Linked DNA regions of Drosophila melanogaster. The protein of the gene in region 1 purifies or fractionates together with the protein of each later gene. This does not show direct contact. Each region holds a gene or a part of one and is shown in the gene's direction. Other genes may lie near its edges. The genes, in order: Mzt1 and Grip71.

What was found.
Region 2: the proteins of Mzt1 (region 1) and Grip71 purify together in Drosophila melanogaster (affinity purification with western blotting, with the first as the bait; one study listed by BioGRID). This does not show direct contact.

What each region holds. Positions count from the first base shown.
Region 1 is NT_037436.4:2,387,468-2,390,244, forward strand, and holds Mzt1 (mitotic spindle organizing protein 1), read left to right. Parts: upstream 1-1,797; 5' UTR 1,798-1,868; coding exon 1,869-2,117; 3' UTR 2,118-2,183; downstream 2,184-2,777. Other genes in the region: Svil (supervillin), read left to right, coding at 1,300-1,314; CG32299 (uncharacterized protein), read right to left, coding at 2,254-2,373, 2,434-2,718.
Region 2 is NT_033779.5:18,706,980-18,712,079, forward strand, and holds Grip71 (Grip71), read left to right. Parts: upstream 1-1,866; 5' UTR 1,867-1,958; coding exon 1,959-2,148; intron 2,149-2,207; coding exon 2,208-2,502; intron 2,503-2,564; coding exon 2,565-3,406; intron 3,407-3,461; coding exon 3,462-4,075; 3' UTR 4,076-4,318; downstream 4,319-5,100. Other genes in the region: Faf2 (Fas-associated factor 2), read right to left, coding at 1-882, 1,137-1,259; Irk3 (inwardly rectifying potassium channel 3), read right to left, coding at 4,358-4,754, 5,025-5,100.

The sequences.
Region 1 (2,777 bases):
TGGAGAGATGAATAGTTATGAGGTTTTAGGTTTGGCTAGCCAATCTTGGTTTTCCAAAGGGTGCCTGACACTATATATTTAGTTTTATTTACTATCATAAAAGTACGAATGATCCACTTCTATCCCATGACCAACTCACGTATGTTCGCCCCATGCTATTCATCCCTTAGTCTTTTCACCCATTAAAACCATTTAGCATTCATTAAGCCCAATTTCTGCCCCATCCATGGTGCTCGGAATAATCAACAAATTAACTAAATTCCTAGTGGGCGCCTCCATCCCCAGAATAATCCAAATTCCGAAGTTGTGACATCAAGAAATGTCGAAGCGATTTCAAGTGCAGCCCCGGGGAATCTTGGGAACATATTCGAACATTCCCAATCGTCCGCAACCTGTTTGATCCGTTGGTTATCAAAGATATTTCCAAACATGTTCGAAGCGAACCTCATGATGAGGTTGCATGGAATCCATAAGATACAATCCACAAGCTGCTTTGCAGCTACAGCCCAGCGGAATTTCAATTCAGTTCGCGCTCAACTCACAGACACGATGGTCATTCAAACGCGTTAACGAATAATAATTTAAAATAATATTCAAATGATAAATACACTAAAATATGCACTAAACCACGCACTAAACCTAAATCCACGAACTGTACATATTTGTGTAAATAAATAAAGTATAAACAAACAGCGAAGAGAAACCTCGAAATACCAATAGACCGCTCAAGTTCCCATACATTGAGCTGGCCAATCGTGTTTGAAATTATTTGTTTGATCGATTTTGTGCGGTGTGAACACCTTGTAAAGGCATTTGCAAACCTATTGCCATAGCAAGCAAAGTGTGTTAAGCTGGGAAACACCCTCTGAAAAGTTTATGTACTACCCCCTTCGATCGGTCGAATAATAACTACCACAAGACAAGCATTAAGTTTGTGTTTACGTGCTGCTGACTAATTGCGTTTATATAGCCCGACTATATAAAACTGTACAATAAGACACGGCCAACTGTTTTAGTTTGAACGCCTCAGTTAAAGCTGCAAATTGCTTCGCTACCAAGTGAAGTTCTACATTTTCGCAGCGAAAACGTTTTTCAATTGATTTTCATTAAGTGAAAAAATCCCGAGATTGTCTTCTTTTCGGTTTCCAATTGATCGCAATTGCACCAGACCCATAAAACATATATACAAAGTGAGGCTGCATTCCAAGTAGAGCAAGACAGTAACCACTTCATCATCACAACATCAGATGCTGCATAATTAGCATTCGTTGCGTGGAGCGTCGAAAAAAAAAGCGGAAAATGTATCTCATACAGGTGAGGCCAAGCGATACAATGGATCCCCCTCTCACGATTAAGTGTTTGCTCTTACTTATCACATGCTGGCGGCACTGCACTTGCCGACTGAAAAAGATCTTCATTTAAGCGTTTTTTAATTGTCCGCCAGCTGAGATTTTCAGCATTTACAATTCTCCCCTCCGTTTGAAATGACTGTGAGAGGCACGCATCTCTGGCGTATATAATTTGTTTAATTTGTAGCTAATTTATCTTTCCACTTGGCAGCGGGCAGATCGGATGTCGAGCAAATGGGGGGGGGTTCACTGGAGCAGGTGCCTCATTACTGAACTTTGAACTTGAAACGGTGTTACGATTTACAGCTGGTAATGGATTACGGTTAGGCATCGGGGTTCGGGTTAGCAGAACAAATGTGCAGGCCTGAGATTATGAAGGGAACTCAAATATTTTGACATAACCATTAATCATTTGTAAATGATATACATTCAATCGATTGCTTTTGAGTTATCTGTCAGCATTGCCCTAAATTATTTAGAGATTTATTCCGAGTTTATATCAAAATTTGTGGAATAAGTATGTCAGAACAACCGACACAACATAAATCCGACGATCGCTTCACTATCCTGCAAACCTTATCGGATGTAGTGGACTCTGGTCTCAGCAAGGAAGCCCTTAAAATCTGCATCGAACTGGTGGACAATGGTGTCTGTGGTGGAGCACTAGCACATGTAATTCGAACCATTAGAGAGGAGATTCAAGATGATGAAGATAAGGAAAGTGATGATTCCGGAGAATCGGCTGCATCAACAGACTCAACTTTGTAGGAAATGAATATAAAATATATTTTTGTGTTTATATTTTGTGTTTGTTAAATTAAAAGTTCAACTTTCCGATGGTCTGTTTCCGAAATTTGTAAGACGCTGGTTCTTGGACATCCAATTGCATGATTTTTGAAGGCTTTCAAGAAGACTTCGCCACTCTATTTGCATTCATCAAACGCAAGCGACTGGCGTTTCTGAAAACGGTATATGTGCCGGCCATGATAATGAAAAGTTGCACCACTTTGGCTTGATAGTAGGTCTAAGATGATAATGTGTTTAGATAAAAGCTTATAGCAAACCGAAGCAACAAACGACTCACCTGTCTTATATAGATGGGCAATGGAATGTGCGATCGATGAACATGGTAATCCATTCCTCTGAACAGCCAATAGCCCGGCCACGCCCCCAAACTGGCGAAAAGAAATGGTGCTGCAGTACTGTAGGCCTTTTCAAAGGATTGCGAATGCACCAGTAAACGTATCTCCTCGCCAAGATTATGCATCCGAGGTGGGTGGGCTATTGCCTTGGCTGGTTCCTCCTCCTTTCGCTTAAGCCTCGTCGAGAACTTCTCCTTCAGATTGCCGTAATAATTTTGGATGCCCATCTTGGAAAGGTTTAATTTTCGACCGAAAGTTGTGTATTGTGTGTGTGTGTAAAGTTTGG
Region 2 (5,100 bases), on another chromosome or scaffold:
AGCCTCCTCCGCCTGCCGGACGGCATCCCGCTCCCTTTGCCGCTGACGCTCCTTCTCCTCGTCCGCAAGCAAACTCTGCTCGTATGCCTCGTCCTGCTGTCTTCTTAAAGTCTGTGTAAAATTCCGCTCTAAGCGATCTGCACGCGCTTGACTCAGCCACACCTCGTTGGCGTTCGTCACCGACTGGAGGCGACGGAGCAGCTCTTCGGGCGTGCAATCCCCCTCGAAACGTCCGACGATCATCATGCGATTTGCTCGAAGGCTGATCATCACCATCGTTGGGTAGCTGCGCACCGTTATCGACTGCATCACCCGGTAGCCCTCCGGCGTGGCTACGTCGCATCCCCATAACAGGGTGTGTGTGTTAATGTAGTCAATGACCGATCTCGCCGACAGTGTGTTGCGGCAGAAGGATTCCACATCTGGGTTCTTGGCGGGATCCTTGTGCAGGTAAACGATTAGAAAACGCAGCTCCTGCTTAGCATCGTTAAGGGCCTGGGCATATGTGCCCTGATAGAAGACCGGGTGCTCGGGATACCTTTCGTAGTATTCCCTAATAAACTTCATCACATCCCCCAGTGGATCTGTCACCAAGCGGGCTTCGTTTCCTCCGCCCAGGTTCACAAACGCACTGACGATGCTCGTCAGCGTGGAGTAGAAGTACTGAAACACGAAGTTAATCACATATCCAATGATGCCGGTGAAGCTGCGGGGAACGGGGCCACTGGGCACCCGGCTAACCGTCCTTCCGCCAGGCATGTTGGCGGAAAACACCTGCTGCAGGAAGCGATCGTTAAGGACAGCGGGCGCTCGGACATCTGTAGAGGCGGCGAACATGGTCGGACGCCCCTCGCGGATATTTAGCTGCTCCTGGAAGGCCACCTGCATATGTAGATATGAAAAAGGGTAAATAAGCTGGTATTTAGTATAGCAGGGCGCCCAACGCAAAATTGTAAAAAACAAATTTAAAAAGAATTTAGAATAAAATGATTACTATCTTTAGTCGTCAGATAATATATATGTACAAAACTTGTTGGTAGTAGTATTCTTGCAGCCACCACTGTATGCAAGACTGCAAGACTACGTGACCCTGTTATTTTGACATTCACTGTGTGGGCATATAAACATATGCATACCTCGAGATCCCATTGGTGTCTGATTAGGACGTCGCGGCAGACGTTCATATCCTCGATGCCGGTGAGATCCTGGAACTGGAGGACCTTCTCCGTCTGTTCGTTGGTCAGTCCATCAGCTTCCATCTTTCCTGCAGTTGAAGGCCTCCGTTCCCAGTTGTTATCGTTGTTGTTTGCTTTTACGCAGTGCGTGCGTGTGTGTGCTTGTGTGGGTGCCAATGGCCCGTGACTGTCTCCCTGGTGTTGTTTTTGTTGTAAGCTGGCCTTTGTCCAGTGGCTCAGCCGCTGCGGCGGGGGACGGGGGATGAGTAGCGTGGTCACTAAATGCTTCTACTGGTCGCCAGGAGTCATTTCAACGCACGCCAAATTGCCGCACTACAACGTCTTTAACATTTCTCGGCAATTTATTTCTTTTTCGCAGGTGATTGCTTGCTCTTCTTCTTGCCTTTCTGCCAATGATCCGATGAATTTGGTTGTGAATGACTAGTGTGACCGCGCAGGCCGACGCGTTCTCACTGCGAAATCCAGCGGCAAACAAACAATTTGTGTTCGCTTTTTAAAAAATTATTTTTATTATTTATTTGATCTCTATGCCTGGCGTGGTAAAACACAGAAAAAGATTAAAAGCAATATTGATATATAATTCAAAGGTGTTAGATAAGGACAATGTGTAGTGGAATCAGCATATTTGTCTAACATCACTTGGAAAATCGACGGACGAGCTTTGGAATTTTCAGGTAATAAAGCAGCGGGCACATTCTTAAATCAGTCCGAACAAAAGCACTCAAATTTGAATTGTGTAAATATCTGAAGAAATAAATCAAAATGCATGTTATTTCCACGTCTAAAAAAACCGTGCTCTCCGACTTCGCGGATCTGGAGACAAAGTCTGAGTATGTGCACCAGAACGCAGAGCCCACGGACTTTCAGTTCAACGGCCAACGCCGGGTCTTCGTGGAGGTGGATAAAATGGCGGGCTTGGCCGTGATGCGAATAAAGGAGAAGGATGGCAAGAGTAAGAGAGAGGTGCGGATCCCCAAATCCCACGTATGTAATTAACTTCCCATTTCACAGCGCCCGAGATTCAACGAGTCCGTAAGCTCACCATCGACAATGCCTTCTGTGTGGCGTGCGCCAAGCAATCCCTGGAAGAGATCGCTGTGGGTCAGAGCGGTTGTGTTAAGCTATACAACTTTCGGACGGCACAGCTCATCCATCGTTTTCCGGCGGACCCGCAAAGGAGTACTGTCCTCTACATGGACTACAACAACACGGACGAGTATATAGCCGCCGTGCGCGATGGCGGGGACATCAGTATCTTGGGTACCAAGACCAAACAGAAGACCAACACCTTCACCATAGATGGCGAGTAAGTTAAAGGCTTGCTTGTTAAAGGATTGCATTGATCTTTCGCTATCCTGTTAATATCAGCTCTACTCTTGTGCGCTTTCATCCGAGCAAACGCTTTCATCTGTCGATCGCTTCCTATAAAGGAGCCGTGACTGTCTATGATGTGCAGGGAATGCGAAAGATTTTTCATGCCAGCGAAGCCCACAGTGCTCCCTGCCGGGACATCAGTATGTGCACATCCCAACCGGCACTGCTGGTCAGCGTGGGCTACGATTGCAAGATAAATATCTTCGACATTCGACGAAATCGTGCTCAGGCCTCTACGGATCGCTTGACCTACTCGCATCCACTATCGACGGTGGCGCTGAGTGAATGTGGCACTTATCTTTGTGCTGGAAACCTTAAGGGCGAATTAATAGCCTATGATATGAGGAGTACAAAGGCTCCGTTGGCCGTGAGGAGTGTACATGATGCGGCTGTAACACGTGTAGCCTTTGTGCCCGTGCCAAGTGGGGATAACCAGCAGAACGGTAGCCTCAACAGCTCCGAAAATGCAACTGGTTTGGCGACCGAAGCTCCTCGTGTAGAGCGTGCGCCCAGCGATGAGTTGCGTAAATCGATTGCCGCTAATTTGTTGAGCACCCAAAACCAGCTGACCAGTCTTGGTTACGGGGTGTCAACACCTACCATAGTTCGCCGGGATTCCTTTTGCGAGTTCCTGGATGCCCAAGGTCCAAGAGCTGTGGATCGCATGTCGACCCGCTTGGGCGCCTCTTACAGAGATAGTTTTGACTGGGAGACGCTCAACCGAAAACCGCAACCTTATGAAACTGCCAATCGTCAAAGTCTTTGTCCTCCAGTGGCGTCTGGCCCAAGCTCGGTGGATAACTCCGTCAACAGCTCCACCACGGAGTCACTGCAACGCAAGTTACTGTAGAGATTATTATTTTTTAGTTATAATAAGCTTATTACTTGCAGAGACCTTAAGCGGCCCACTGAAGGATCGGAGCAACATTTCCGGAGACGGAAAGCTGATGAAGATTGCCGAGACGGACGAGCTCTGCGAGGAGCAGTCTGCCAACATTTCCGTGGCCAGCAGCACAGGAGGCGGCAGCGACAAAGAGAATCCCCCGCCGGTTGACGCAGAAATGAAACGCCGTCTGCGCTTGCTTTCGGCCAGTCGAAACAGTACCCCGCACCATGCTAACATCACACCACAATCCTCAAATCCTCTCTTGAAGCCTCAGCAGTTGCTGGCCAAATCGTCAAGCGGACTTTCCGCCCAAATGGATGCAGATTGGCGCAAGGAATTCAGCGAGCTAAGAGATTTTGTAGACCAGCGCTGCGAGAAGGTGGAGCGCGAATTGGAGTACGTTACCTTCTCTAATCAGCGGCTATTGGCTAATAAGATGACCAACTACATGGACCAGCAGGTGGAAAACACAAGGGAGATCCGGGACGCCCTGGCTTTACTACTTCAAGGAGATAGCTTCATGCGCGAGTTCTCGCGCCTACAAAATGAAAACGAAATGTTAAAGGCCAAATTGAAGTTTTACCAGGAGCAGGAGCAAACTGAATCATGCGGAGAGTAAAACGAGGGGGAGACATGTTAATAATTAATTGAAACATTGTTATTATTGTATTTAATTTATTGTTATTATCAACTATTAGTAACATTTTTCAAAATAGGTTTTGGCGTCTCATGAGTTTTATGTAAATTTTAATTCGTTAATCGATCCATTTAGATATTTTACAAATGTTTTAGAATATTTACCTCGGTCTATAAAATGTTTTTGAATTCGTTATTAATATAGTGCTGCCAAAAGTGTAATGCGATAAGAAAGCTTCTTAAAATGTATTTTTTAAAACCCTTTTCACTTTCTGTACTCTAGCTTTAAGTGATCATTTTTCGGATTCGTCATGGGCATGTCCACCGATATGGTCCTGTTGAAGTTCTCGTAGTCGACAATGTAGCGCTCGTTTTGGGCGTCGTAATGGATGATATTGACGAACCGCTGGCCCCAGAAAATCTCCCTTGGCAGATAGGACGTCTTGGCCTCCGTCATCTGCGCTGTGGCAGGCGAAGTGCCCACAATGGACACATACAACTCAAATTGGGCAGCATTGAAGAGTTTCGCTGTGGTGAACTGAGACAACGGGCTGGTCTCATCGATGACATGGCACACCACATCGGGCCAGAGAATAATCTGCTCCCCATTCCCCTCCAGCTTCAGTTCCACGTGACTTTTTATAGTCTCACCCTCGCGCGTGCTGTCAGAGAAATAGATAAGATGGGGGTTCGTATTAATTGCTTGTTTTATCCAGCAGCAAGTACTATCTGAATGGAAGGTCAGTTCATTTATGACTTTCCTTATGACTGGGTCAATATTTCAGGAGTCAAGTGTGATTAAATTGTTTCTATAGCATTTATAAATATTGAAAAAAAAACGTTGAAGATCAAGACAAAATAGGAAAATATACCCAAATTAACCGCGGATTCTTAAGTTCTATGATTTTCCCTAAAATGCGACTGTGACTCACCGTTTGTCCACGATGATGTAGACTCGTATCTTGGACTCGATGGACTGCTGCTCGCGGGGATCACAGACGCGGAAGA